Saccharomyces cerevisiae S288C: one gene and its partners. Changing the gene in region 4 together with the main gene of any one other region gives a genetic interaction. Each region holds a gene or a part of one and is shown on either strand. Other genes may lie near its edges.

Evidence for each region.
Region 1: mutations in DMO1 (region 4) and WHI4 together harm fitness more than expected from each alone (negative genetic interaction), as found in Saccharomyces cerevisiae (2 studies listed by BioGRID).
Region 2: mutations in DMO1 (region 4) and DBP3 together harm fitness more than expected from each alone (negative genetic interaction), as found in Saccharomyces cerevisiae (2 studies listed by BioGRID).
Region 3: mutations in DMO1 (region 4) and PNT1 together harm fitness more than expected from each alone (negative genetic interaction), as found in Saccharomyces cerevisiae (2 studies listed by BioGRID).

The regions. Positions count from the first base shown.
Region 1 is NC_001136.10:51,572-60,213, forward strand, and holds WHI4 (Whi4p), read right to left. Parts: upstream 4,776-8,642; coding exon 2,826-4,775; downstream 1-2,825. Other genes in the region: GTPase-activating protein GCS1, read right to left, coding at 1-602; septin SHS1, read left to right, coding at 874-2,529; HBT1 (Hbt1p), read right to left, coding at 5,694-8,642. UniProt on the Saccharomyces cerevisiae protein: Has a partially redundant function to WHI3, a dosage-dependent modulator of cell size.
Region 2 is NC_001139.9:357,069-365,619, forward strand, and holds DBP3 (RNA-dependent ATPase DBP3), read right to left. Parts: upstream 4,792-8,551; coding exon 3,220-4,791; downstream 1-3,219. Other genes in the region: YGL081W (uncharacterized protein), read left to right, coding at 309-1,271; pyruvate transporter MPC1, read left to right, coding at 1,568-1,960; KXD1 (Kxd1p), read left to right, coding at 2,376-3,032; HNM1 (Hnm1p), read right to left, coding at 5,157-6,848; 60S ribosomal protein uL30 RPL7A, read right to left, coding at 7,267-7,896, 8,365-8,458. UniProt on the Saccharomyces cerevisiae protein: ATP-dependent RNA helicase required for 60S ribosomal subunit synthesis. Involved in efficient pre-rRNA processing, predominantly at site A3, which is necessary for the normal formation of 25S and 5.8S rRNAs.
Region 3 is NC_001147.6:818,875-826,922, reverse strand, and holds PNT1 (Pnt1p), read right to left. Parts: upstream 5,901-8,048; coding exon 4,629-5,900; downstream 1-4,628. Other genes in the region: PAC1 (Pac1p), read right to left, coding at 1-538; YOR268C (uncharacterized protein), read left to right, coding at 991-1,389; putative serine/threonine protein kinase HRK1, read left to right, coding at 2,056-4,335; RBL2 (Rbl2p), read right to left, coding at 6,149-6,469; DSE3 (Dse3p), read right to left, coding at 6,765-8,048. UniProt on the Saccharomyces cerevisiae protein: Probably involved in mitochondrial export. Confers resistance to the anti-pneumocystis carinii drug pentamidine. May act by the removal of pentamidine, or its damage targets, from the matrix by an active-transport mechanism.
Region 4 is NC_001142.9:644,161-647,976, forward strand, and holds DMO1 (Dmo1p), read left to right. Parts: upstream 1-2,965; coding exon 2,966-3,316; downstream 3,317-3,816. Other genes in the region: JHD2 (histone demethylase), read right to left, coding at 144-2,330; ATP2 (F1F0 ATP synthase subunit beta), read left to right, coding at 3,447-3,816.

The DNA of each region.
Region 1 (8,642 bases), on a different chromosome or scaffold from region 4:
TCTGGTCTAGATTGGTTCTTCTTGCCCAGCTCAGCAAAATAAGCTTCGTTCTTCTCCTTTTGAAAATTGGCACCATTACTAGAGTTTGCTGGTGTTGCAGATCGACGGTTCTCCAGTGGTGTCCCTTCTCGACTTTGAGCAACACCAGGCGTAGCGGATGCAGCGGTTTGAGAGGTTGCTGATAACTTGGAAGCATCAAAATCCAAATGCTCACGCTCTTCAAATACTCTATCTTCGCAAAGACATGTTAACTTTTCTTTATAATCCTCTGCGACGGGGTTATCGTATTTCACTTTTTGTGGTAAACTCAGGTCAATATTATGCGACTTGAACCATTCAGTCAAAGGTTCGTTACCACCTTTTTCCATACGAAGAAGTTCCTCCGGTTTAAACTGATCCATAGTGATAGATCTTACAAAAGATATATGCACACCAAGCCCTCTATGGATACCGGCACATTCAAGGCAAATGAAAGCTCCAAACTTAGGCGTGGCCCATTGTGGATTTGGCGCACCACAATCCATACATTTCTTATTTGCACCAATCTTTTGCAATTGCAAAAGACGCCTGCGGGTATCTGGGTCCACTTTCCAATCTGACATGCTCTATAATCCGCGATAAAATTGCTCAATTGGCACCATTTAAACTCAGAATCACGTCCATATTTCTGCTTTCATTCTTGATATAGTTGTGCAATTTGGTTCTTGACAAAAACTGGCGTTGCTTGCGGGTAACCGCGCGATTTTTAAAGTGCCAAACTGCGAAAAGAATATAACAAGCTTTCGAGCAAGATCAATGTACCCAGCAAGTGAAATAATAAAACAAGAGCCCCAAAGATCTGCTTATAATTGCTAGAAAAATATATTATTAATCATGAGCACTGCTTCAACACCGCCAATTAACTTATTTCGTAGAAAGAAAGAACATAAACGTGGGATCACATACACAATGTTACTATGTGGGCCAGCAGGTACAGGAAAGACCGCCTTTGCTAACAATCTATTGGAAACTAAGATCTTTCCGCATAAGTATCAATACGGTAAATCAAATGCTAGTATTAGCTCTAACCCAGAAGTAAAAGTTATTGCTCCGACAAAAGTTGTTTCATTTAATTCGAAAAATGGGATTCCATCTTATGTTTCTGAATTCGATCCAATGAGAGCCAATTTGGAACCAGGTATTACCATCACCTCCACTTCATTAGAACTTGGGGGCAACAAAGATCAAGGAAAGCCAGAAATGAACGAGGATGATACCGTGTTTTTCAACTTGATTATGACGCATGGTATAGGCGAAAACTTGGACGATTCGTTGTGTTCTGAGGAAGTTATGTCGTATTTAGAACAACAATTTGACATTGTTTTAGCTGAGGAAACCAGAATTAAAAGGAATCCGAGGTTTGAGGACACCAGGGTTCACGTAGCATTATATTTTATTGAACCCACTGGACACGGTCTGAGAGAAGTCGATGTAGAGCTCATGAAAAGCATCTCCAAATACACAAATGTACTGCCAATAATAACAAGAGCTGACTCATTCACCAAGGAGGAGCTAACTCAATTCAGGAAAAATATTATGTTTGATGTGGAAAGATACAACGTCCCAATTTACAAATTTGAGGTTGACCCTGAAGATGATGATTTGGAATCCATGGAAGAGAATCAAGCCTTGGCATCCTTGCAACCATTTGCTATTATAACTTCAGATACCAGAGATAGTGAAGGTAGATACGTTAGGGAGTATCCGTGGGGGATAATATCAATCGACGACGACAAAATTTCGGATTTGAAAGTTTTAAAAAACGTCCTGTTTGGTTCTCACTTACAAGAATTCAAAGACACCACGCAAAATTTGCTTTACGAGAATTACCGTTCCGAAAAACTATCGTCCGTGGCCAACGCTGAAGAAATTGGTCCTAATTCTACAAAGAGACAGTCAAATGCTCCAAGTTTAAGCAACTTTGCCTCTTTGATAAGCACTGGTCAATTCAATTCTTCTCAAACTCTTGCAAACAATTTGAGAGCGGACACACCAAGAAACCAAGTAAGTGGAAACTTTAAGGAAAACGAATACGAAGACAATGGCGAACATGATTCAGCAGAAAATGAACAGGAAATGTCTCCCGTGAGACAGTTGGGTAGAGAAATAAAACAAGAAAATGAAAATTTGATAAGATCTATCAAAACAGAATCTTCACCAAAATTCTTGAACTCTCCGGACTTACCAGAGCGTACCAAGTTAAGAAATATTTCAGAAACCGTTCCATATGTCTTGAGACATGAAAGAATTTTAGCAAGACAACAAAAACTGGAAGAGTTAGAGGCCCAGTCAGCTAAAGAATTACAAAAAAGAATTCAAGAATTAGAAAGAAAAGCACACGAATTGAAATTGAGGGAAAAACTAATAAATCAGAATAAACTAAACGGTTCATCATCTTCAATCAATTCTCTACAACAGAGCACAAGGAGCCAAATTAAAAAAAATGACACGTATACTGATTTAGCCTCTATTGCATCGGGTAGAGATTGAGTTGTATCTGTACAAAATCCAAAGCTGAGCAAATAAATAAATAAATAAATGTATAAGTTACCGAACGGGGGTATTTTTACTTTTGATCAAAAATTTATGTACCAACTACAAAGTTTCCTCAGCACAGCCTTCAAGAAGGGAACACACATACAAACAGTGTCAAATAATTGTAGGGATAAATTTAAATATGGCATAAACTAAATAAGTAGAGCATGAAAAAACTGCAAAATCCAAAAAGTAAAAACGAAGGTCAGAAAGTAAAGCAAAAGAAAATTAATAAAGCAATACTAAATCTATCATGATTTCCCGTAACTTCCATTAAAGCTGTAACCAGATTTACTCCTACTGTTTGAGCCTCTAACGCCTAATGGATTTTTAGAGAAGCTCAACCTGATACCTCCTTTGTTGTTGAGGGAAGGGCGGGGGTGAGGTAGTTGACTACCATATAATTCTGCCAATGCTCTAGTGGCAAAGCTAACATCCTCAAATTCTACAAAACAAATTGGACCATGGCCATGACCGTTGCCATGACCGTGAGAGTTCATTTTATTCCTGAAGGATAATCTACGAAAACCTTGCTGATTAGAAAACAATTGCCTTAATTCTTGTTCCGTGGCATCCGGAGGTAGATTACCCACATAAAGAGTATTACAAGGAGGATTTTGGTCCGCGGGATTGGCTGGTGGTGGCACCTTGGCTAGTAGTGATAGGTCAGCCTGTGAAATAGTTGTGGAACCTGCCACATTTGTTTCGTTATTTTTCGAAAATGCAGAGGCAGAAGCTGTAGAAGAACATTCTTTCTGTCGTGATATTGTACTGGTGTCTTGTTCACTCACTAAAAAGCCTTGATTCACCTTTTGGTTGTTGAATATTGAAGACCCGTTAGGAGCAGAAGATTGTGGGTGGCCATTTTCCGTTTGGAGATTCAGGTCCAAATTGGAAGGAACATTCGAAACGCTCTGCTGAATACTTTGTGTCTTAGTTGAAGCATTAATTTGGTTCAATAAGTGATAATGCGGTAGAGAAGTCGCGGAATGTATTACTCCTGAATTGTTCAGATTAGGTTGTGATTGAATATGTGGAACATCCTGGCTAATTGAATGGTGGGATGGAGGCAACAGATTAGACTGATGATTTTCTTGGCTAGATAATTGAAAAAGAGGAATATTAGCAGTTGAGGAAGCATTCCACTCCATCACAGGCGTAGATGACATCGGAGGCTCTTGTAAAGATGCACCAAATGAAGAATTACCAACATCATTAACTAATTCATCACCATTCCAAATACTTTCATTTATTTCATCCTTTTCTAGTAGCAAAAGTGACTTGCCAGCGTCCTTCTGAGGTGGCATTCCTGCTGGAACTGGTGTGGTGGTTACGTTTGATAAATCATGTTGTGAGATGCTATTTCGTAGAAAGGGTACGGATTCTTTTCTTTGAGAGATTGTTTCCAATCCGAATGGGTCATTGAATGAGAAACGGAGGGATCTCTCTGAAAGTAATGAAGGCCTTGGCTTGGCCGCTGAAGGCCCTAATGGAGAGGAACTAGTTTTTCCATATGATATAGTATTAAAACTTTGATTTTGAATTTCATTTTGCGCACTGGACGACAATTGGTAATTCTTTGGAGAACTATTTGTAGTGCCAGATGAAACATGTTCTTGAAAACTCACTGGAAGCTGCGTTTGTTCATTTACTACGTCAATGTGAGACCTAAAGGGGAAACTAGGCCCAAAAATCTCAGACTTCGAGTTTAATATATTAGCATAATGGGTTACTAAAGAAAGGGATCCAAATTTGACCACAACGACTTTTTCATTGTCATTAAAGGGTTCTCTATCATCCCTTTTTAGTTCTATACTTGACACCCCAGTTGCTAGTGAAAATATACAATAACACTCTCTTAGTGTAATGTCTTTTGGCAAATTCCTCAGCAAAAGACAGTAGGGGCCAACATCCACATCATGTGGGGCTAAAGAATTGACGTCATTCCCGTTCCCTTTCCCCGTGGACATGGTCAAATTATGAAGCATAGAAGTCATAATAGGTTCTTTTGCAAAACCTTGCGGGTTCTCTCTTTTAATGTTAGTCTCGCTGTTGCTCCTAACTGCGGAAAAACTATATGCAGTTGGCATGGGATATGTTGCCTCCTTTGATAATGGAACGGTTTCTGAACTAGAACTAAATGCCCTTTCTATAAGAAATTTGGATTCGTTTAAATTCGTCTGATTATGCACTAATGACATTGTTAATTGAGAAACCTTAAGCGTTATTTTTCAGCGTAGATGTGGCAACTAAGGTTCCTGTTTTCAAAAACCCTGCTTTTTTGAAAAATGCTCGAAAAATAAAGAAAGAAGTCAGTCCCTTGTTTTAGCAAAGTGATAATTTGTGAAATATGACACAAGTAGAAGATAAACCTTTACACGCAGAAATAACAGCGGATTATATTTTGATTCTTAGATTTCCTAATTTCGTGAACTTTTAACTAAGAAGGAAAAAACAATTGAGATGAGATCCAAATGGGAGGAGTTTTGAAACAATTGTTTGCTATTATTTCAATGATTTAGTGTTGCCACCAGATGGGTCTATTTTCTGTAAAACTACCGGTTCGAGGCTCCTGCCGTAACCTTAATTGTACTTTTCTATGATTTAATCCAAATAACCATTCCATTCCTCTTTAAGTCTAAGAAACATTAAAAAACAAAAAACACCACGTCCGGGTAATGAAAATATAACGCTGGGTAATGCACGTGTTGATAATTACATCGTTTTTCACTAATATCGTACCAAACGAGATGTTTGCAGAAAGAACAAACCAATATTTTAAATAATCAAAAATCAAATTAGCTATTATTTCTCATTTGGTGATAATAATATATACATACATATATATATATATATATAAATATATAGGTATATATATAAATAACCTAAGACAAGTTAAATGAGTATAAAAAACCTTGAACGTAAATGAAAAAAAAAAAAATACTAGTAAATTGACAACATAAAAGACAAAAATAAATGAAAGAGGAAAGTGGTAATAAAGTGGTTAAAATTTGTTGTAGTTGTAGATAGGAGGAGTCCGCGTAGACAGTTATTCAAATTCAATTGAGGAAGAAAAATAGATTTCAAAGAATACTGGGAATTTGTTAATCGAGAAGTGTTTAAATTTCACTCCTAAATCCAAAAGTACCGCCAGAAATACTTTTTCTCACTCTACCCATGAAACTTTGTTTACCAGCCTGTTCCTCACCTTGCTCGTCGTCATGGTAATCTTGCTCACCCTCATCGGAACCGTACTGATGATGTCTTGGAGTGTGCTCGGCTGAATGAGTAGAATTATTATAGTCGTAGTCAGACCCTTTTGAAGAATTCTGTCTGCTGTGACGGTGATGATTGTGATGATGTTTTGATTTTCCGGAACCCATTGAACCCACCGACACTTTCCTTCCCTGAGAAGTTGTTTCATTATGAATTGAATAGGAAGTGGTTTCTGGGTAGGTGCCCTCAGATGGCTTTTGAGAACTAGAGGTGTTGGTGTCTTTAAATCCGTATGTTGGGACATGTGGGTCAATCAAACTAGGGAAATTACCAACTTCGGCAGCATAAGCGTTTGAGGCGTCGGCACCACCAAGGTCGGTTCTACGTTTGTTCTTCAAATCTACTTCACGCTTGTAGCCCGGTGCGTCTTCCTCTAAAACTTTCGCATTCTTATTGACATCAATATTATCGTCGCTAGAATATTCTTGATTTTGGGAATTGCCGCCAGAACCGTAACTGGCCTTTTGTTCTGATGATGGTTCCTGATCGTGAGTCATTCCAGTAATATCTTGTGATTTGGCATATGTAGGGTCCGCATTTTTAATATTATCGTAAGCAGCTGTTTCAGCATCCCCTGATTTGGAGTATGTAGTGTCTCCAGATCTGGAATTATCAAAGGCAGCAACATTAGCGTTTTCGAGATGAGTGTCTGTATTTTTACTATCATCAAAAGGGTTCGAGCTGAAGGTCTTGGATTTTGCACCCATCCTTCCGGTTGTATCTACGTTTCCAGTAGTACCTGTTTCCGGATTATTGGTGAAATCCTTGGCATCGGATGCAATATCCTGTGTTGTTTTTGCTCTTCTTGGCTCAATTTGGTCAATAAAATTAGAACGCGTTGGAGTTGGGCCTGATTTATTTTTGCTTAAATCAGATAATTTTTTGTTACCAGAAGTATTCGAGTATTCGTAATTGCCAAGACTCTCATCTCTTGCAGTCTCCATACCAGCACGGTTAGTGGTTTGCCTTGGAGACAACGGGTCTTCATCTTGTTTTTGCACTGATTTTGACAACGTATCAGGTTCAAAAGTACCTGGGATTTTCTCTCTCTGCTCATAATTGTAATCCGATGGTTTTCCCTGGTACGCTTTCTTAGAATACAAGTCGTTTTTCTTTGCATTTGAGTAGTCGTCAATATCATTCTCGTGGTAGTCTTCAACATCATCCAAATAATCCAACCCATATTGATGAGGTTTAGTAGAATCTTCATTCATATCTTCGTCCTTCATAGCAGGTGATACAACATTGTTTCGGGTGGTGGCATCATTAGAAAGCCCGGACCATTCTGCTTCATGACGGGGTGACATGTCAATATTGTTGTTCGTATTTTGAGAACCAGCTTGTGAACCGGCAACATATTGCAAGTTATCCCTACCATTATCATTATACTTCATATGTCCTAATTCGGTTCCCGCTTTAGGCATATTCTGAGATCCAGATGTACCGCTGTCGAATTTCTCCTTCATACTAGAAGGTATAACAACATCCTGCAGATTCTTATTTTTACCAGCGCTGGAACTATATTCAATTGGACCCCAATTAGAATCCGTCTTGGATTTAATGTTTTTCTGTTGATAATCATCGGCGGATTCCAGAATGTCATCTCTTTCAATGTTAAATTTTTCAGCCGCTCTTTCTGATATATTTTTATTATCAACCTTATTCTTTTCTGGGTGTTGAATGTTTTTATTGCTATCATGATAAGAAGGTTGCTGGCTTACAAAACCACTTGTCCCGACTGCTGCTTTGGGTTCAGGTTCCATAGTTTGCTGTTGGATTGCATCAGAACCAGAAACTTGGTCATTTTTCAATCCAGTTTGTTCGCTCTCATCCATCTTCACGTTCTGTGCAATTTCTTTAATTGTATCTTGAGGAGGACCAGTCGCAGTGTTGCCAGAGTACTTTCTACGATCTGCAGACTTCGAACTTGTGTCCGTGTAGACACTAGGGTCGACAGCGTTCATACCGGAACTAACATTACTCTTTGGGCCTGTACTTGTGTAAACACTAGGATCAACAGGGTTCACATCAGTACCAGTCATGCCCCGGAAACTACCAGGTATGACATCTCGATCTGAGTTGGAATCAGTGTTCGAATAACCCTTCGTAGCTGAGGAGTTATCTTTAACACTTGTATGTCCATGAGTAACTGAAGGGTTAGTTTTAGTACTGGAATGATCCTGTGCAGCAGCGGTGGATTTAGGACCAGTGCTTGAACCAGAGTGACCATGGCTAACAGGGTGGGTAGTTTTGACGTTGATATGTCCATGTGTAGTTGCAGTGGCTGATGGACCAGTATTCGCTTTAGAATGCTCATGAGTATTGGTAGGAGATGTGGTTTTCACACTGGCATGACCATGTGTGTGAGTGACAGGGGAAGTGGTAGCACTGGAATGACCATGCGTGTGAGTAACAGGAGAAGTGGCAGCTTTGGAAGTGCTGTGGTTATGAGTGGTTGCAATACTTGGATGCCCTGCATCACCTTTGGAATGTCTATGCGCAGTGGGGGACGCCTTTATATTTGAATGTTCATGGCTAGTGGGAGGTGACGTTTTCACTTTGGATTGCTCACTTGTAGCAGCGGGTGTCGTTGTTTTGACATAAGAGTATCCATGGGTAGTAATAGTAGCATTAGGGCCAGAACTTGACTTGGTGTCGGCAGAAACAGGGTTCACATCAGAAGTTACGTTGGCACGGCGGTTAGCGTCCGCCTCAGTGTCTTCGTGTGGAGTTTCCGAGTCTTTATTATGCTTCTTCCTCCAAGGTAACAGAATGTTTTTAGCCTTGGTTTC
Region 2 (8,551 bases), on a different chromosome or scaffold from region 4:
TTTAATTTTGTAAATGTATATTTTACTCCTTCATGGCGTTCAACTGGCCTATTTGTGATATATAACCTGATAATACCAATGATTTATTTTTTTTTACAGATTCCTTCTCCTAAATTTGTCCAAACAAAACGGCTCAAGAAGCCCCGAATAATGCACTACAGCGGAAATTAACATTTTTGGGATATCTTCACAGAATACTAAAGCAATCAAAGTGGCTCATAGTATTGAGTTTTACAAATTACTTGAAAAAAAAATAATCACTAGGCAGTTGCATAAAGTTGAAACTGAGGGAAGGAACTGGGGAAATCATGGGTGATATAAGAACTTTTGTTTTCGCTATAGAAGATACGGAAACAACACAAGGTTTGTGTAAAACCATTGGCCGTTCGAGTTCATTTGATCAAAATAGTCTATGTAAGCCGTACAATCTATATTTTGATGAGCCAGAACTAAGCAGACAGCATGCTGTCCTATGTATAAAGACACCAATACCCAAAATTGAAGGAGTTCCCTCTATAGAACAACTCCGCATCTGCATTCGGGATTTGAATAACAAGACTGGTACAGTAAACTTAGTGTCTGATGGGCCAAATGATGAAATTGATTTGAAAAATGGTGATGCTTTTGGTTTGATTGCAATTGATAATCATCCTTTTCGCGACAACCATCATTTAGCCGCCAAGTTAATTTTCCGAATTGAACTTGAGTATTTCGATGAAGCAAGGGAAATCGTAAAGTGCACTATTACAAATGTAACATTTGGAAAGAATAATACAGTGTCATCTTTCCCTATTCATTCTGCAACATCCACAGAAGATAGCGATTCAAGTTGGTACGGATTGTCGGAAGCGAGTACGCAAACGGAAGTTGCAGATGAGTGTCATGAAACGAACACCATATTGACTCGAGGTGGTAGGTTTTCTATCCTTTCGTTGAGAAAAAGAGGCAGCAAGCAAGACCAGAAGATCTGCAGTAACTTTGATAGAAAAATACATGAAACGAGTTCTTTCGAAGAAGAAATCGAAGTTTGCACTGACACAGACACCACAGAAGAAAAAGAAGAAGAAGAAGAAAAAGAAGAAGGGGATGATGAGGAAGGAGAAATAGAACTTGAAATTATTAGAGTAAAAAGAATAAAGGGCAGGACGAAGATAAAGAAGACGCTTACTTGCTTCTCGAAAAACAAGAAAATTATTACCCCTCAGCACTCCAATAGTATGTGGTTACTACTAATAGTAATCTTGATTTTTGACCGCCTACTATCGAATTAAATATAATTTTATAACCCAGTTCTATATTGCTGGGTGGTATTATAGCTTCATGGCTAGTCAAATAAGTGGAGTTTTTTGCTCTGGACGTGGCCTGTAAAGTTCTCTTTTGCGACGGCCCCCCGCTTTAACCGAGGCGAAATGACAAGTGCTTTCTGGCAAAGAAGGAATAGCCACTACAACCTGCGGTCTCCACCTTTCTCCACCGATAATCTATTTAAACACTCACTTGCCAATCAGCAAACGTCAATACATCTACATATATACGTATAGATTTTATTGCACTGTGATCAAAAAGAATGTCTCAACCGGTTCAACGCGCTGCAGCACGCTCATTCCTTCAAAAATACATCAATAAAGAAACTTTGAAATATATTTTCACAACACACTTCTGGGGTCCCGTATCAAATTTCGGTATCCCAATTGCTGCTATATATGATCTGAAAAAAGACCCTACACTAATCTCTGGCCCAATGACTTTTGCTTTAGTTACCTATTCAGGTGTTTTCATGAAGTATGCTCTTTCAGTATCACCCAAAAACTACTTACTGTTTGGATGCCACCTTATTAATGAAACTGCGCAATTAGCTCAAGGCTATAGGTTTCTCAAATACACGTATTTCACAACAGATGAGGAGAAGAAAGCTCTAGATAAGGAATGGAAAGAGAAAGAAAAAACTGGTAAACAGTAAAACGAGCAGTCTAAGAACCTGAAGTAGGTGACTAGATGGAAACATAAAAAAGAACAAGCAAGGATTAAGAGGATGGATATGTTCATGCATATTCTCTCATTTTTACCTCTTCTCCTTTTCATATATGCATGCTATAGAACCATTATCTCTATGAGTTTCATTTTATTTAGTAGTTAGTATTGAACCAAACTACATAAGATGACATATTCTAAATAACCTAAATAATTATTATGTCTTTATTCAAATATTTCTTTTATATCCAAGACAATTTCCCTCTCATCTCCTTTGTATTACTGATTATATTCAGCCATTCAAAAAGTTAAAAAAGAACGTTTTTCACTGAAAAGTCGCAGCTATATTATAGTAAAATAATAAGAGAGGCAAAATAATGGTTACCAACACTTAGTGAAGAACAATGGTGACCGGAATATCGGAGGAAAATGATGATGAAGAGACTTTTTCGGCTGTTCATTCTTCAACACCCAGTATTAATTCTCAATCCTACGCGATTCCTATAACAGAGGAAATGTCCAGCTCTTTCCATGATTCGATCAGCACCACTAGCAACTCAAGTGGTAGCTTCGATAGTGATGGAAGTAACGTTTCAGATGTTGTGGAGCAAAATGAAATGGACAATGAATCTAACGTTGACGAAGATTTGTTCCTAGATAACGATATCCCTCAGTCAAGCAATTTGCTACCCACGGATGCCCAGGATCCTGGTCCAATATTTGACGTTTCTAGATATATTTTTGATTCTCTAAAACAATCTATTGATTCTGCTGATTTCTCAGAGGCACTTTCTCTACAGACCAAAACCTCCGCTGTTATAAATTCGAAAAGCCTAGAGCTTAAACAATATATTGATGAAATGAAGAGCAGGCTCACTCAACTGCAAGAGAAGTTTGAAAATGGTGAGGCTACTTCAAAAAAAATAAAACGTGATTTAGAAACTTCAAGAAAGAACATCGACTATTTAAACGCTGCTTTGCGTGTCGATTTCCCCATAGAGTTTAATCAGGCAAGAGAAAAAATTCTTGAGCGCAGATTGAATGAAGACCATGACTGCTGATATACTGAATCGTATTTTTTTTCTAGAAAATATGTATACTATGTGAGAGTCAATTTAAATAATATTAATGATAAATGAAAGTGGGCAGTTATAATAGTAATATACAGTGTTTTGTTAATAAATCTCCGACTCTCGATTGGCTATTATTAGAGAAGAAAATCCAAGATTGAAGTAAACGAAAAAACCCCTAATCGAAAGTAATTTTTTTTGGTTTCTTAGTCAAATCGACGTCCTTAAAGAATGAACCATAAGCGCTATGTTCCTTCTTCTTAGTGTGAGTACCGAACTTTATCAAATCTTCAGGAACAGGTTGATTGGCACCATTCAAAACGTTAACCAGTCCACCAGCCAAATGCTTTTCTTGTTCAGTGAACAGAGTGTGTGCTGTGCCTGTTTGACCAGCTCTACCAGTTCTACCGATTCTATGGACATAATCCTCCACAGTCAATGGGAAAGTTAAATTAATAACTGTCTTAACATTTGGTATATCTAAACCTCTTGCTGCAACGTCGGTGGCCAGTAACAAGTTAGACTTCCCGCTTTTGAACTCATTCAATGCTTGCGTTCTTTGTTGCTGGGACAAATCACCATGGATAGCTGCGACGTTATACCCGTTATATTTCAAATTCCTTTCAACACGAGCAGCTTCCTTCTTATAAAGAGCAAAAATCAAGACCTTTTCATTCTTTTTTGGACCAGAGTGGTACTTTTTCAACAGTTCCAATAACTTTCTTTCTTTTCCACGTGGGTCCACCACTTCAACAATCTGTGTAATTCTTTTGTTAGCAGTTAGTTGGTCCGTGTTACCAATAGATACTTTGATTGGGTTGTTCATGAACGTGGAAGCTAATTCACGGACTTCCTTTGGCCAGGTAGCGGTAAACATTAGAGTTTGTCTTTTGGACGCATCAGTTTCTCTGATAATATTCTTGATGTCTTCTTCAAAACCTTTTTCCAACATTCTGTCTGCCTCGTCTAATACTAAGTAATTAACTTGAGATAAGTCAACAGATCCTTCCTGCAATAGGTCTAATAATCTACCAGGTGTAGCAACCACCACTTGTGACTTTTTTAACTGAATTCTTTGCTCATCCTTTGGAACACCACCATAAACACAACAACACTGCATACCAACCTTGTCAGTTAATACAATCAGATTATCATAAATTTGGGAAGCAAGTTCTCTAGTTGGGGAAATGACTAGAACCTGTATGCCCCTTTTCTTTTGATCGTTCATTAAATGGCTGATAGCTGGAACACCGAAAGCAAATGTTTTACCAGAACCGGTCTCAGCAACACCAACAACATCTTTACCAGATAACAAATATGGCCAGGCTACGGCTTGAATAGGCGTTGGTTTTGGAAATTTGGAAATTTCTGCTTGAATGGAAGAGTCTAAAGAAAGATAATCAAATGATAATAGCGGACGTAGGGCTAGATCCAGAGAATCCTCAACAGCAATTTCATTTTCCTTGAAATATTCGTCAATATCAGATTGTGGAAGACTGGTTAGTGCTTCACTCTGAACATAAAACTCACTAGCCACTGCAGAAGTAGGTTCAGGTTTCTTTTCAGATTCTTTCTCTGGTACTTCCACTTCCTTCTCACCCTTCTTCTCCTTCTTATGCTTTTTATGCTTTTTATCCTTCTTTTCCTTCTTGTCTTTCTTATCCTTTTTGTGTTTCTTACTCTTCTTTTTTTCAATTACCTCCTCATCTACAACCTTTCTCTTCTTGTCTGCGATTTCTTCCTTTGTCATTTTAATCCCCTATATATCAAACTGTTAATACTTATGCTTTCGTTAAAAGGCTGTAAAATGAAGTTAAGCTATATCTCTGAGCTGCTATATTGTTGCCTATCTATTATTAATATTTTTTTTTTATTTGCTTCTTATGCGATGAGGTGAAAAATTTTTCATCTTTTTCCCGCAAAAATATTTCAAGAAATTTGAATTACAGTCACATCGCTTTCAAGAGCGCAAAGCCTGAGGGATATTTAGGTTGAAATATCTTAGTCCCTCGTCTAAAATGGCTTAACAAACCATTAAAAAAAATTCACTTTTATTACTTCTATGCAAATAATATACTTAAAATAAATAACGGTCGACTGATCAACACTATAAATTCACTTCTTTCCCCACGGTACGTGTTCATTTTCGAGTTCAACGTCAGAGGCCGCAACGGAAAATTCTCGACTATCTTCAATGGTATCGAAGTTATTACTATATTCAGCCTGTTCGTTCTCAGATTCTTCTAAAGCGTGGAATTCCTTCTTACCCTTGTATTTCCAGTAAAGAATCGAATACGCAGTATAACCAACAATAACTACACAAACATAGTTCATGTTATCCTTTGTCACAGGTAAAACTGGTGGAAAGGAAAAAAAGACCACAGAAAAGACAGTCCAACCCAAAAGAACAATGTTTGAAAAAAATCCAAATTTTCCAAGCCAGAATGGACCATGAGCTATGTTACGCTTTTTAGCAAGTAAACATATAACCGGAATGATGTAGGATAACAATAAAAATGCAATACAACCTGTAATTAAGGACTGAAAAGCCGTACTGGAAGCCAAATAAAGTAGGCCAATGAGGGTTATCCAAGCGCATGACATTAAATGAGCGTTCAAAGGTACACCAGTGTGTGGGTTAACTTGCGACCATAAACGGGATAATGGAAGACCATTGTCCCTGGCAAATGACCAACATAACCTTGCCTGCCAAGTGTGACAAGCAATGACGCAACCAAAAGAGGTAAATAGAATCAAGCAACCCAGGAAAATCGCACCTGATTTATTACCCAATGCCTGATTATAAATGTCCAAGATTGGGGCGCCTGTTGTAGAAGACAAGACAGCGTCCAGATCTTGTATAGAGAAGAACATAGCGATAACATAACAAAAGGAAGTGACAAACCCAATGGCGACTGTTCCCATGATAGCAATGGGAATAACTCTTTCTGGTTTTTCAACTTCAAACGCCATATGGGTTGCACAGTCAAGGCACGAAAATGACCAAGCTGGGTTAATCAAACCGACAATAAAGGCGATACCGCCGTTCTTCCAACCTGTTTCATTATTAAATGTGGCAAAAACAAACTTTGCATCGTTGAACTTTCCATGAGAACATGCCAATACAGTAATTGTAATTGTGAAAAAGGATAGTAGGGAAATGTATAGAGAGGAAGATGAAATGATAGGTAAGGATTTACCGTAACAGTTGAAAAACATCAAGAACAAATGCAACAATTCAAAGCAAACGAATATATGCCATCTCTTTGGGATGAATTCAGGGTGCGTCAGAGCGTACATACCAACCACTTCGGTAGCAACGGATAACGTAGTTGAAGCACTTGTGAACACGGATCCTGCGTAAGCAAATGAACCGCACATGTAGGCCGCAAATCTTTTGTACTTAGGAGGGGCAAGCTTCAAAGACCACCAAAACTGACCACCGGCGTGCGGATATGCGGAAGATAATTCACCCAACGAGGTACCAATGCAAATAGAAATCAGGGCAACAATAATTATACCGTAAACAATCATCATGGGTCCACCAGAAGATATACCTGCAACCATCGATGTAGAAATACCGAACCAGGAATTAGTCAAACCGAATCCAACACCAAGAATTGACCACAACGAAAATGACTTTCTTAGATGAACTTCACCATCTGCTGCTACAGCACCCTTGCTATCCATATCATCCAATGGCTTTATTTCCTCCTCAACTCTTAAGTCTCTTTTGTGCATAGAAGCGTTCGAAGATTGATCCGGCTGCATATAGCCACCGGAAGCATTATCATTCCGAATACTCATCGTTCTTCAAAATACTAATTTCTGAGTAAATGAGCCAGTTAACACTGAAAGATATTCTTTCTATGGAAGTTCGAAGATATTATAATTTTTCTTTATGCAAGCTATATATGATAAGCACAGACACCTTCTTTCCAATTGTTGGTATTCAAGGCTTTTATAAATAAGTTGGCTAACTTTCGTTGAAATATCGGCAGTTTAGAGAAGTCAAGGCCGCTTATCTTCAGTTTTCATTTTTTTTTTTTTCGTTATATAGGTTCTGCGCATGTGAAAAAAAAGAGAAGAAAATAAAGCCAATTATAAGTCATTACTGACGAAATTATAAGATAAATTAGAGGTACAATATACAAACTAGTGAATAACAGAACTATATAGGACTTAGATAAAATAAGTAGTTATATGTAATGTGACTTCAACCAGTTTAGTTCATGGACTTAACCAATTTGTTGATGAATTCTTCACGGTTACCGAAAGAACCACCTTGGATAAAGTGCTTGAACTTTCTTGGGACACCCCAACCACCAGATGGGTTGGACAACTTGAATGGCCACAAAAAGTTGTTAGCTTGCTTGAAGTGTGGACCAACAGTGATGATTTCGTGAATCAAATCGTCAATGGACAAGATACCATACTTACCCAAGTTGGCTTCGATGATAGCATTGTCGGACAATGGAACTCTTTGCTTGTTGATCTTACCGAAACCTCTCTTGTAGACCAATTGTCTAATAGTAGAGTACGATGGGTAACCGTAAGCAACGTATGGTTCAATCAACTTCAATAGTTCCAAAGTAGCCTTGGTAACTTTGACGAATGTACCAGAGTTGATTCTTGTCAATCTTAGCAATTGTAGAACCTTTCTTGGCTTAGGTGGGATCTTGTTAATACCCTTGATTCTGACAACGAAGACCAACTTGTGTTGAGCTTCGACGTAGTAGGAACCAGCAGCCTTGGCATCACGCTTAGCTTGAATGATGTTTCTTTCAGCAGTTTCGTATTCCTTTTGGTAAGCGGCGTTTCTTTCCAAAATAATGGCTCTCTTTTCCTTGTTAGCCTAAATGAAAATAAAAAGTAAAAAACAGTAAATTGATGTTAGTAAAAAAATACCAGATGGAAAACACAGTATTTTATGCTAAAAATTGTTACACGGCATTATCACTCAATGGTTTTTCTGACACTGGAAACACGGCAATAATTGTAACCTTAATACCTTAACTCTCTGGTCTATTTTACTTTCTATTTCTTTTCTTATAATCAGTCGAAAGATGGTGATAAGTTACGACAGCATCGTCAATGACTAGTCGAATATGTATTGGGATACAATGGATTTTCATCATAAAATGAGAAAACAAACAGAACGTAACAAATAGTCCATTAGCCTAATGATACCACAGGTGTTGAGAATATTGCAACTGTTCGAATGATACTTATCAAAATTGGCGACGCACGTGAACTCACATATATCCCAGTAAGAAAATGTGTTGCAGCATAAAATATAAATGTAAGCAAAAGTTTAACATACAGCCTTACGAGCAGCTCTTTCAGCAGCGACTTGTTCAGCAGTCTTTTGTTGAGCCTTAGACTTCTTCAACTGAGATTCTGGGGTCAAGATTTTTCTGTAATAATACAAATAATAAAATATTTTTGTTAGCATAACCGAAAATAGAATGAATTAGGTTTGTATGACCATCAAGTAAAACTTTTTTCTA
Region 3 (8,048 bases), on a different chromosome or scaffold from region 4:
ATAATTTGCCATGATCTGTGGCCACAAACACTATAGGCAAATTGGGATGTAGTTTGACGGAAGTGACAGATGATTCAACATTAATTAAACAGCTTGGTAGATTTCTCGGTATCCATTTCAAAACATTATGTGCGCTGGTGCCGTTACTGGTGGTAGGTTTGAATTGTGCTAGTTCTGACACTTGAGTGTTCAAATCTTTAATCTGAGATACAAGGGTCTCTGTATTCTGCTCCAATTCAATGATTTTTTTTTGTAGTCTAACAATTGAGTTCCACTTCTTCGGTAGCAGTAATTCATCAATGTCTACCATACTTTCGTTACTGGTGTCATTGTTACTGATGAATTCTTGCCGGTCCACTGATTCTTGCAACAGAAAACCTGATAGAGTTACAATTGCATGTCGAACACTTTCGTAATCTTGAGCATGCTCATGTCGTACAGTTTGTTTGTAATTCCAATTCAAATATCGGAGGACACTTTTATCGAGTTCATTTTTCTGTGTATCTGTTAAAGGAAGCTGTTGCTGCCAGTTAGTCATTTCTATTTTTTTCTACACTTACGCACGCACAGGTGTATACCAACAACCGGACGACGAACCTAGCTGCTTTATCAATGGCTATCTGGGCGACGATGGCCCAATACTAAGATTACCTATTACGTTTACACTCGCCAAAAATAAGAAACAAGTGCAATATGCACGACTTGCAAGCTGAAAATATTTCAAAACACCCACATCCCACAGCACAAAACCAGTGCAAATTCCATAAAGGGAAGTGAATTAAATTCAATGGTAGATGAAAGCACTTTTTCAGGAACCGTTTTAAGATCTAATTGTAGTTTACCAAGATATACTAAAACGTCGTTACTCGTTTTATTTACCTACCATTAGCTAACCGTTGCCATGGCTACCGTCCGGGTCGCCAGCGGCTGCTACTGCAAAAGTTGACAACGAAAAAGAGAAAAAAAAAATTCTCGGCACGCAAGACCTGAATGGTTTTTGTTTTCCCCTTCCCATTTTTTTCTTATGGTTTTTCCAGTTTTCTAGAAGCCGGAAAAAAGGCAAGCTACAAAATGTACTACGCGGAGCCAGAATTAAAAACCACGCGGACGGGACGGGCCGTGGCTTGTGACGCCGGATCCCCGCGTATAATCCGTGTCACGCTAAAGGACAAAATCGGTTTATCCGAGCGGTTTACGGGAAGGGTCTTTTGCTATCTCGCAGTAGCGTGTGCCTGGTTATCCCAATACTACCACCACACCTGTGCTTTTTTTATCTTGTACGTGCATGTATGCGTATGTTTTCTTTTTTTCCGTTGGTGCTTATTCGCTACCGTCTCGTTGATCCATGAATCACAAACACAAGCCGGTTCTGCTTACTATACAAAATAGTCTTGTGTCTTGATTCATATATCCGTCAATAACGTAGCCTTTCTTTATTTTCCTTTCGCTCACCATACTCTTGCATTAGTGTATTTTGTCTTTTATATCGCCAATAAGTGCCCAACTCTTCTACCTGACCCCTACGTCGTCGCCGCCCCTTTTCTTTTTCTTCGCCTAGTTCTATTTGGCTATATATTTCAGAGTGACAAATCTTTAAGAGAGACAAACTGAGAATTAGCATATAGAATCATTCATACAACTGTTTACAAACAAGTAAGCCCAAGACAGTTCCCAACCGCTTAAAGAAGTTTTTCCTAGAGGGAGCAAAGTTCGTTTACATTTCACACACACAGTTTTTTTTCACTTTTTTGGGCCTCTTCCTTTTCCCGTTTTTTTCAAAAAGCTTAGAAATCTTCTTCACCTCCTATTTTTCTAGAATCGTGAAGAATTTCCAGATTTAACAGTTTTCCACTTTTTCAATAAGGAAATAGTAGGAATAATAAAAAAAGGATAGTAGTAACGATATACGTCGACTTTCCAGACTGGTCTCGAGCCGGAATTAAATACAATAGCAGCGTTTGACTACCACATTGTAGCTCCGCTAGAATTGATCGAAAACAAAAATAATAACACTAATAATTATAATAATACGGTAGAACTATTTCTCGTATAAAGATGCCTAATCTATTGTCGAGAAACCCATTCCATGGTCATCATAATGACCATCATCATGACCGTGAAAATTCGTCTAATAACCCGCCACAGTTGATCAGAAGTTCTAAATCTTTCTTAAACTTCATTGGTAGAAAACAAAGTAATGACTCACTAAGAAGCGAGAAATCTACAGATTCCATGAAATCTACCACAACCACTACAAATTATACTACAACAAACCTTAATAACAACACCCATAGCCATTCTAATGCAACCAGTATCTCAACAAACAACTACAATAATAACTATGAAACAAACCACCACCATAATATTTCTCATGGGCTCCATGACTATACTTCTCCCGCCTCTCCAAAACAAACCCACTCCATGGCAGAATTGAAAAGGTTTTTCAGACCTTCTGTAAATAAAAAACTATCTATGTCTCAACTTCGTTCCAAGAAACATAGCACCCATTCCCCCCCACCTTCAAAATCAACTTCTACAGTTAATTTAAATAATCACTATCGTGCCCAGCATCCTCATGGCTTTACAGACCACTATGCTCATACCCAGTCTGCTATACCGCCAAGTACCGATTCTATCCTATCTTTGTCCAATAATATTAATATATATCACGATGATTGTATTCTGGCTCAAAAATACGGGAAATTGGGTAAGTTATTGGGTTCCGGTGCCGGTGGGTCCGTTAAAGTTCTTGTGAGACCAACTGATGGTGCTACTTTTGCCGTCAAAGAATTCAGACCAAGGAAACCGAATGAGAGTGTGAAAGAATATGCCAAGAAGTGCACCGCAGAATTTTGTATTGGTTCGACTTTACATCACCCAAATGTTATCGAAACTGTTGACGTTTTCTCTGATTCTAAACAAAATAAATACTATGAAGTTATGGAGTACTGTCCGATTGATTTTTTTGCTGTTGTTATGACAGGCAAGATGTCTCGTGGCGAGATCAACTGTTGCTTGAAGCAATTGACTGAAGGTGTTAAATATTTACATTCTATGGGATTGGCACATAGAGATTTGAAATTGGATAATTGTGTCATGACTTCCCAGGGTATTTTGAAATTAATTGATTTTGGTAGTGCTGTTGTGTTCAGATATCCTTTTGAAGATGGCGTAACGATGGCTCATGGAATCGTGGGTAGTGACCCTTACTTAGCGCCGGAAGTGATTACCTCCACCAAATCTTATGATCCTCAGTGCGTCGATATATGGTCTATTGGGATCATATATTGTTGTATGGTGCTTAAAAGGTTTCCATGGAAAGCCCCTAGAGATTCTGACGATAATTTTAGATTATATTGTATGCCGGATGATATAGAACACGACTATGTTGAATCTGCCAGGCATCACGAAGAGTTACTGAAGGAAAGAAAAGAAAAGCGTCAAAGGTTTTTGAATCACAGTGACTGTTCCGCCATCAATCAGCAACAACCAGCTCATGAATCAAACTTGAAAACAGTTCAAAATCAAGTTCCAAATACTCCAGCATCTATACAGGGTAAAAGCGATAACAAACCAGACATTGTGGAAGAAGAAACCGAAGAAAATAAAGAAGATGATAGCAATAATGATAAAGAAAGCACGCCAGATAATGACAAGGAAAGTACCATCGATATTAAAATAAGCAAAAATGAGAATAAAAGCACGGTAGTTTCAGCTAACCCAAAGAAAGTAGATGCCGATGCCGACGCTGATTGCGATGCTAATGGTGACTCTAACGGCAGAGTGGATTGCAAGGCTAACAGTGACTGCAATGACAAAACGGATTGTAATGCTAACAATGACTGCAGCAATGAATCGGATTGTAACGCTAAAGTTGATACTAACGTCAACACTGCTGCCAACGCTAACCCTGATATGGTTCCCCAAAACAATCCACAACAACAACAACAACAACAACAACAACAACAACAACAACAACAACAACAACAACAACAACACCATCATCACCAGCATCAAAATCAAGACAAGGCCCATAGTATCGCTTCCGATAATAAATCGAGTCAACAGCACAGAGGACCTCACCATAAAAAAATTATTCATGGCCCATACCGTCTATTACGTCTACTACCACATGCTTCAAGACCTATCATGTCCCGTATACTGCAAGTAGATCCAAAGAAAAGAGCAACCTTAGATGATATTTTTAATGATGAATGGTTTGCCGCCATTGCTGCCTGTACCATGGATTCAAAAAATAAAGTTATTAGAGCGCCTGGCCATCACCATACATTGGTTAGGGAGGAAAATGCTCACTTAGAGACCTACAAGGTTTAATACGAACTACTCAATTATTTTCACTTCTTTTTTCGATTAATTTAATTGTATTTTCTATTTTTTCTTATTTTTTTCTTTCACTTTCCAATTGAAACGCTTGACGAAAATCTATATACTATATATACGGAAGAGTATCTATCATATTATACATACAATATAGAGTAACATTGCCCTTTGCTCCAAAAGCAAGAAACATCACTGAATTATTGTTTGAATTTGCAATTAGAAAAGTTTAAAAGAGTTTTTGTTTTAAACAATATGTACAGCATAGATAATGTCATGAATATTTACATCTATTGAATATCTTTCGTAGCTACCAATTCTGAATTATATTTTAACAATGATATATTGTTGACACCCCATTTCTCACTGAATGTATGCTTTCCGTTTAAGGATATAGTGTCATTATATCTTAATGTCCAATAAAGAAACAATCTTTTCAGTAAGATTTCTTTCCCTAACGTGTCATTAACCATCTCATTCAAGTCATCGCCCATGTGATAAAGTTTTCTTTCAAGTATACAGTTAACCAATTCTCTATCACTTAGCGCGATTTTAGTTTTCTCAACATCAGTGTTGAGTATACTCTGCAACAGCAACCAGTCATCGATAAACAGATACTGGTAAATTTTTTCTATCTCATTGCAAAGTAGCTTCTGTAATTTTAACTTTTTATAAATATACAGTTTCCAGTTTGATATCATACTTTGAGGAAAGCTTGTCAGAAAATTATACAAATTCTCAATAGGAACTGCATATGGTGGCTCATACTTAATTGTACCTTGCTTAGTAAACTCTAAGGGACCCAGACCGTAGTTACCTTGTGTGCTTGTTGTTCCCTTGATATATGAGTTGGAAAGCTTCTTGTATCCACCAGGAGTTAAACAATTGTACGGACAGACACGTGGAAAAAAGGTAAAGATCAATACACTTACCTCCTCAAATATGAATACTAAGGTGAAAAATACAGGTAATTTCCAGATTTGATCTCGTCTGATCAGTTCCACCAGTGTTTTCCTATTGATTGAAAGTGGCCTTAATGGGGCTTTTGCTGAAGAACTTGTAGGCAATGATGAAGACGATAGTCTTGTATTGATTTCATGCATTTCTATTTCCCGTACTAAGTTAGCCAATGCACCGTTTTTTATGCTGAATTTCTGCTCTTCGTTTCGAGTATCCCAGAATACTTTTAACGTGTTCTGAATTCCTGTTTTATAGCTTTTTAAAAGATACAATCCAATTCTAAACCAACCTGTCATGAATTTCCTCCATTTGCCAACCTTAGTATCCAATTTTACCTGTTCCAAGATCTCCTGCTTGGGGAACTTAGTCATTGGTAGGGATCGATTAGAGTTTAGAGTAGCGGCCAGAGGCTCTGGAGAATCGGATGGTGTTGTCTTCGCATTCCAATCGACATCCTGTACTATCTGTAGTGAACCTAATTTGTAACGGCTATTCAACGCTTTAAATAGTGGTGCCTTCACTAAACCGTGCAATTGAATAGAATCGCTTTTTATCACCGATGGTGCTATGTATTTTCGTACCAGTGCAACTCGAGAATCCATATCGATGGCATTAAAGGTGTTAACTCAATTAAATAGATTAATAAAGTTCTTTTTAAATATAGAGTAAAATGTTCTTATATCTCGTCACTGTATCAACAGCCGTCTTCCACTTTTCTACTTTTGCATATAATATTCCGTGCATTTTCTAGCGAGATTTATTATTCATCCGCAACAGGTTTGTACATAATAAAGTATAAAAACCTGCATCAAAATAAATGCGAAAAGGTAAGAAAAAGGTTATCTATAGATTATTTAGAATCGAGTAATTCCTGTGCAGACGTAATAGCGGATCTTGCATCACTGACATCTTCGGTACCCTGGTAAGTTTTTAGAAATTGTTCTAAATCCTCTTTAAATTCTCTAATCTTCTCATATAAAGTAGGTAATAATCTTTTTGTGTCATCAAGGACCTCCTCCTGTTTCTTCAAGTCATATGGGTCAACTGACTTGTCTTCTTTAAGTTTTGCCACATGTGCTTCCTGATCTTTCAGTTCTTGTTGGTAGTACCCTTCCTCCTTAGTCAGCCTCTTCAAGGCCTTGACTTTTATATCCAATTGTGTGGGTGCCATTGATAGTGAAATGTAGTTTTCTTGAGTTCAACCTGTTGTGCTTTATGCTCAAAAATGCCCTTATAAGACGCACTGTATCTAACTGCTCTGTTTATATGTAGCCATAGTAGTTCTTCATTATGATCCTTTGCGGGTAATACTACAAAAGGTGCGACATAAGCGGCCATTTATCGTTGAAATTGTGACACTTTTCTATTGATGACCACCTCTGGTGCAAATACACAATGTGTCACCGCTCATGCCATTATTCTACTTATATACGTATGATTTTACTTGAAACCTAGAATAAATTTTTTTATTCGCTGTAAATGCTACTGCTGCAACTTGCTATTTCAATGCAGTCAATTTTTTTTTGAAGAATATTCAAAGCCCTATCCTCGTCATCGTTGTCATCTCCATCATCACTGTCATCGTCAAAAGTCATGACATGCATTATTTTAGGCGGATCGAGAATTACTTTTTTTAATTTTCTTATAGAGAGTTTATTCAAAAGCGTATTGCACGATGATGTTTGTGCAACTTTTGGAAGCTTGTTATGTATATCCAGATCTTCCACTGATACTGTTGAGGGCAAAGTCTCCGCAGCAGTGCAATAGCCTTCCTCACTAGTGCTTTCAGACACAATGGATGATCTCATTGTCCTCTTATTCGTGTTCCATACTATACTTTCTACTTCGGACAATTCCTCATCTGAATTCGATTGGTCAGAGTATGTACTGCATCCAGACGTGGTGTATTCTGGGCTAGAAATGACATCGTTTAATGTGTTAGAATTGACAGGTTTCAACTTTGGTGTTGTTGACGAAAACAAAGTCTCTGTGTCGTCAGGGCAGACGACATATGGTACCTGAAATGCCTCATTTTTTTTAGCTATTTGTTTTGAAGCGCATATATCGATAATTCTGTCAATTTCTGAATTTAGGGCAGTAGAATCGCTTGTAGAAACGTTTTCATAGGCTGATAGAATTTCGTCAAACAATATTTCACTACCGCTTTTGCCATACTTATTTTTTCTACAGCAATCTTGTGTCTGTGTTTGCATTAGGGAGACCGGATTAATAGGAGTAAGGGCTTTTACAGGCATTACAATTGGGGCCGGGCGAGAGACAAACACTTTATCAATAATATGATCCGAATGTGTCTTATGCCCTAAAGATTGTACTACTGCAGGCTTTGACAGCGTCGGCCTACGTAAACTTTTTCTTTGAATTGGTAGTGATTTTACCTTCTTTCTTTCTCGTAATGGTAGAATCGTGCTTTGAGGACAAACTGGTCCCTTGGGAACTTGCATGTCAGTAAATTTTTTCTCTCTAATCACCTCAAGTTGGGAGCGTGGCCTCTTCTTGAAATCATGTAAGAACAATTCTGGAACAGACTCTAACCGTTTCTTCAGTTTCAGTGTACCCCCAAATCTTTTAGACAACCTGTTACCACCGTTGCTGGTACGTAAAACCTTATCATCTTCATCTTCAAAATCTTGTGGTATCGGTGGAATATACTTCAAGTCATCAGCTGTTAATGTTAGCGAAGATGGTCTGACTGCATCAACATTCTTTTCAATTTTATTGCCCAAAAACTT
Region 4 (3,816 bases):
TTACACTACCATTCAATTGTCTCTCTTTAAAGATTGATCGACATTATTTTCTTTACTTTTTTGGTGTTTTCGCGCTAAAAGTGGCGTGCTAAATGCCAAGTATTATTCTAAAAAATCATTACGCCATACACAAATATTGAAGACTATCTATCTAACTTAACACCAACTTGCTTTATTAAAGAGTCAATATCCTTCAAAGACTTAGTGAAATACAATTCATCGTCAATATAAGGTTCTTCACCGTCGCTATTGTTCAAGTTTTGTATTGATTTTAAGTAATCCTGCGTACACAGGATACTCACTTTACTGTCCGTCGTGGATAGTTCATTCCACTGCCTAATACTTAAATGGTTTTTCTTGTGTCTTTTATACGTTCTAATTGAATCATAGTTATTCTTTCGCAATACAAAGGCTATTGAACATATAGTCTTACATTGGGAACAAAATATATCGTATTCCTCATCTTCATCGTTTGGATCAGTATGCACCTCCAAAAGAGTTGTCCGTGGTACAATGGCCTGAATTTTCCGTATGCGTTTTAATTCAGTATTATAAAAGACGATCAATGAAGAGTAACATTGCCTAACAAAAGCATCATTGAACAATAGAGTATCTTTATTGTACTTGTCCAAAACATTGATCATTAAATCAAACATATCAAAAACACATGCTTTCTGAGTTAATTTATAATCCGTAATCGCACCAAATCCATATGGTAGCCAGAAATCTATAGTAAAATTGACAGCTTCATTAAAATTATAACCTGTATTAAAACCAGCATGGTAACATTTAGGAAACGTGATAATATATTCGTTGGGCTTTTGCACAGCTTTGTACACAGGAATACCTGATTTCTTGAAATTTGGATCGTACGGAGATATTAAAGTCACTAGCTGATGCAGTAGGTCTGGTTGTTTGATAAATAAGTCTGGTGACATATCATTTAATAGATCGTTGAATTTCGTACATCCCGATTCGGGAATGCTGTACCAGACCTTAGGGTCACCTTCATGTTGATAGTTAGCACTTAGGGTATACTGATCTTCCATATGCCAACAAAATGTGGAAAATAAGGAGCCTATGTAAATCCAAGGAATAGTCATGCCAGAAATATTTCTTTTAAATAACGGTAATAGCGAATTATGAGCCATAGGCAAGTTAGTTAAATTCATAGGATGATCGCAATATTTGAGGTAGTCTATCAATTCGTCCCCATTTATATTTTTGGGTATAAATTCTCTCGTCGGAAAGCCGGTAATTTGACCTGGCAATTCGTTATGTATGTCAGCACCGTATTTAACTGTCGTTAATGAACTGCGACGATTCTTGGTCACTAAGCTCCAAAACATCTCTTCCAACTCATCTATAGACAGTTTTCGTGCTGGTAATAACCTTGAATTTTGACGTTTACAATATTCTTGAAACTCTGGTAGAGAATAGTCATGCGTGTCCTGAGTGAATCCGTAATATCCGTTTCCGACGATACAAGTGTTACAAATCCAATCGCCAGAGGGAACACGTTCCAAAGGTGGTGATAAACAATATATATGGAATGGTTTGTCACATGAATCACATAAAATTGTTCTTTTTGGATCATTTGTCTTGCGACAAACAATACAAGCATCATCATCGTCCTCCTCAAAATCCGACCCAGAATTCGAATCTGGCCCAAGATCGAAATCGTCCTCGTCATCACTTAATAAGGATTTTGGATACTGGTCAGCATGCAGCGCCGTGTGCACGTTCTCGTTCAGTGAATGAAGAAATATGTAGTATGAGGCAATATATTTCTCAAAAATTTCCTTTAACAAGCCGATTGGTACGTTGAATTTTTTAGAAATGGTCCTCCATAGACTGATGTCGCCTCTTAATTGGGAAATATCTCTAAATTTCAATTTTCGCCTGAATGACTGTGTAGTGTCAGTAAGTGTCCGATTGTCTTTTATTAGTTCAGAGAAAACGTCATAAAAGTACACTTTTTTTTTTAGTATTTCCGATGCATGAGTAGAATCTGAATATTCTACAATCGTATAAGGTTCCCTAAGTATAAGTTTCGATGGATCCTTAACGGATCTTTTAAAATTATTTAACTGTTTCATAAAAAATAGCCTACACCTATTTTTCAGGTCTAGGTTCTCCAGATTTTGAATTCTTGGTTGAAAAGTAAAATTTTCCATATCAATAGAAAGTGGCGGGCAGAACCCGTTTGGTGGTACGACCTTGACCATACCATATCGTACACCAAGCCTTTTAATGTGGGGGTTAGAGAGATAATCGATCGGATTTTTGAATTCTTGTTCCGTTGGATACAGGGCAGGAATTTCCTCCATGATAGTGATACGTTTTTTGTGCAAGATGAGATTAGTTAATATGATCTAGAGGTAAAATTGACTAAGTAGTCAGATCTTATTCTACATTGAGCCTGCGTTGTCAACATGCACATCTCTGTCTCTTGGGATGATAATTTTTCAATGATGATTCCAGGGTTACTTTAACGTTACACAAAAGAAATTAATTAGTGCGGCTGTTTCTGTGAGCGGGGCAGTAAGTCCGAAGCCCTTGATATTAGCCCATACCCTACACATTTTACTCGTTTGCCCTACATCAGATAAAATACTGGCCCTAAGCCCTCCTAATCTCTTCTGGTTACACCTAGGGTAAAATATCTGCCTTTCTTTGCATTCAATGCGTTACTTCTATATCACGAGATGAGCATACGGATCGTGTATAATACTAAAAAGAAAGCTCCTGAAAGAGTTGTGACAAGCAAGACTGTATACTACTCCTTCTACGAAAGTTAGTTCGAGTTCTTGATGGCACTTGGCTATTCTATTTCTTGAACCTTTGAGAAAGAACAGAAGTAAAAGGCTGTGTATTCTGCTACATGAAATACAGTAGTAGTCACAGTACAAAAATACTCTAAACCAGTAATAAAGCCACATATATATGTATTTCCTTTCACGTGATGCGCTGGGATGTTATCATCTTATACGCAATTAGCCGCCCATATGCCACCCGGCGCACCGGGTCGCACACACACCCCCGTGATTCGCGATATATAGCGGCCAATCAACGGCGACCTCCAAGCGCGTGCCGGGTGGGCCCCTCGCCGGCCAAGCAGCGCAAGGATATTCCCATCTTCGAGCTCTTAGATACAACGCTTATAAAGAACGCACTTTTTGCATTAACCTCTTTTTTGTATTACAGAACAAACATTTTAACTTGCCCTTTTTTAAACTTTCTTTATCTCTCCAGGACAGGCCAATTGGATAAATTTTGCAAAGATCAAACAGTAACACAAATTTTAGCAACCTAAACCCCCCTCATAAACGAAGACAAAAGTGCTCCTCCTCAAGTCAAATTTGTCTTTCTTTTCTTTCATTTTTTAGTCTGTTGTTATCCAATTTATACTGAATCTTTGAGAGAAAACAAAAATAAAAAAAAGAATGGTTTTGCCAAGACTATATACTGCTACATCCCGTGCTGCTTTTAAAGCAGCCAAACAATCCGCTCCGCTTCTATCCACTTCGTGGAAAAGATGTATGGCCTCAGCTGCTCAATCTACTCCAATCACCGGTAAAGTTACCGCTGTCATTGGTGCCATTGTTGACGTTCATTTTGAACAATCAGAGTTGCCCGCTATTTTGAACGCTTTAGAAATTAAAACACCTCAAGGTAAGTTGGTTTTGGAAGTTGCTCAACATTTGGGTGAAAACACTGTCAGAACCATTGCTATGGATGGTACCGAAGGTTTGGTCCGTGGTGAAAAGGTTCTTGACACTGGTGGCCCTATCTCCGTCCCAGTTGGGAGAGAAA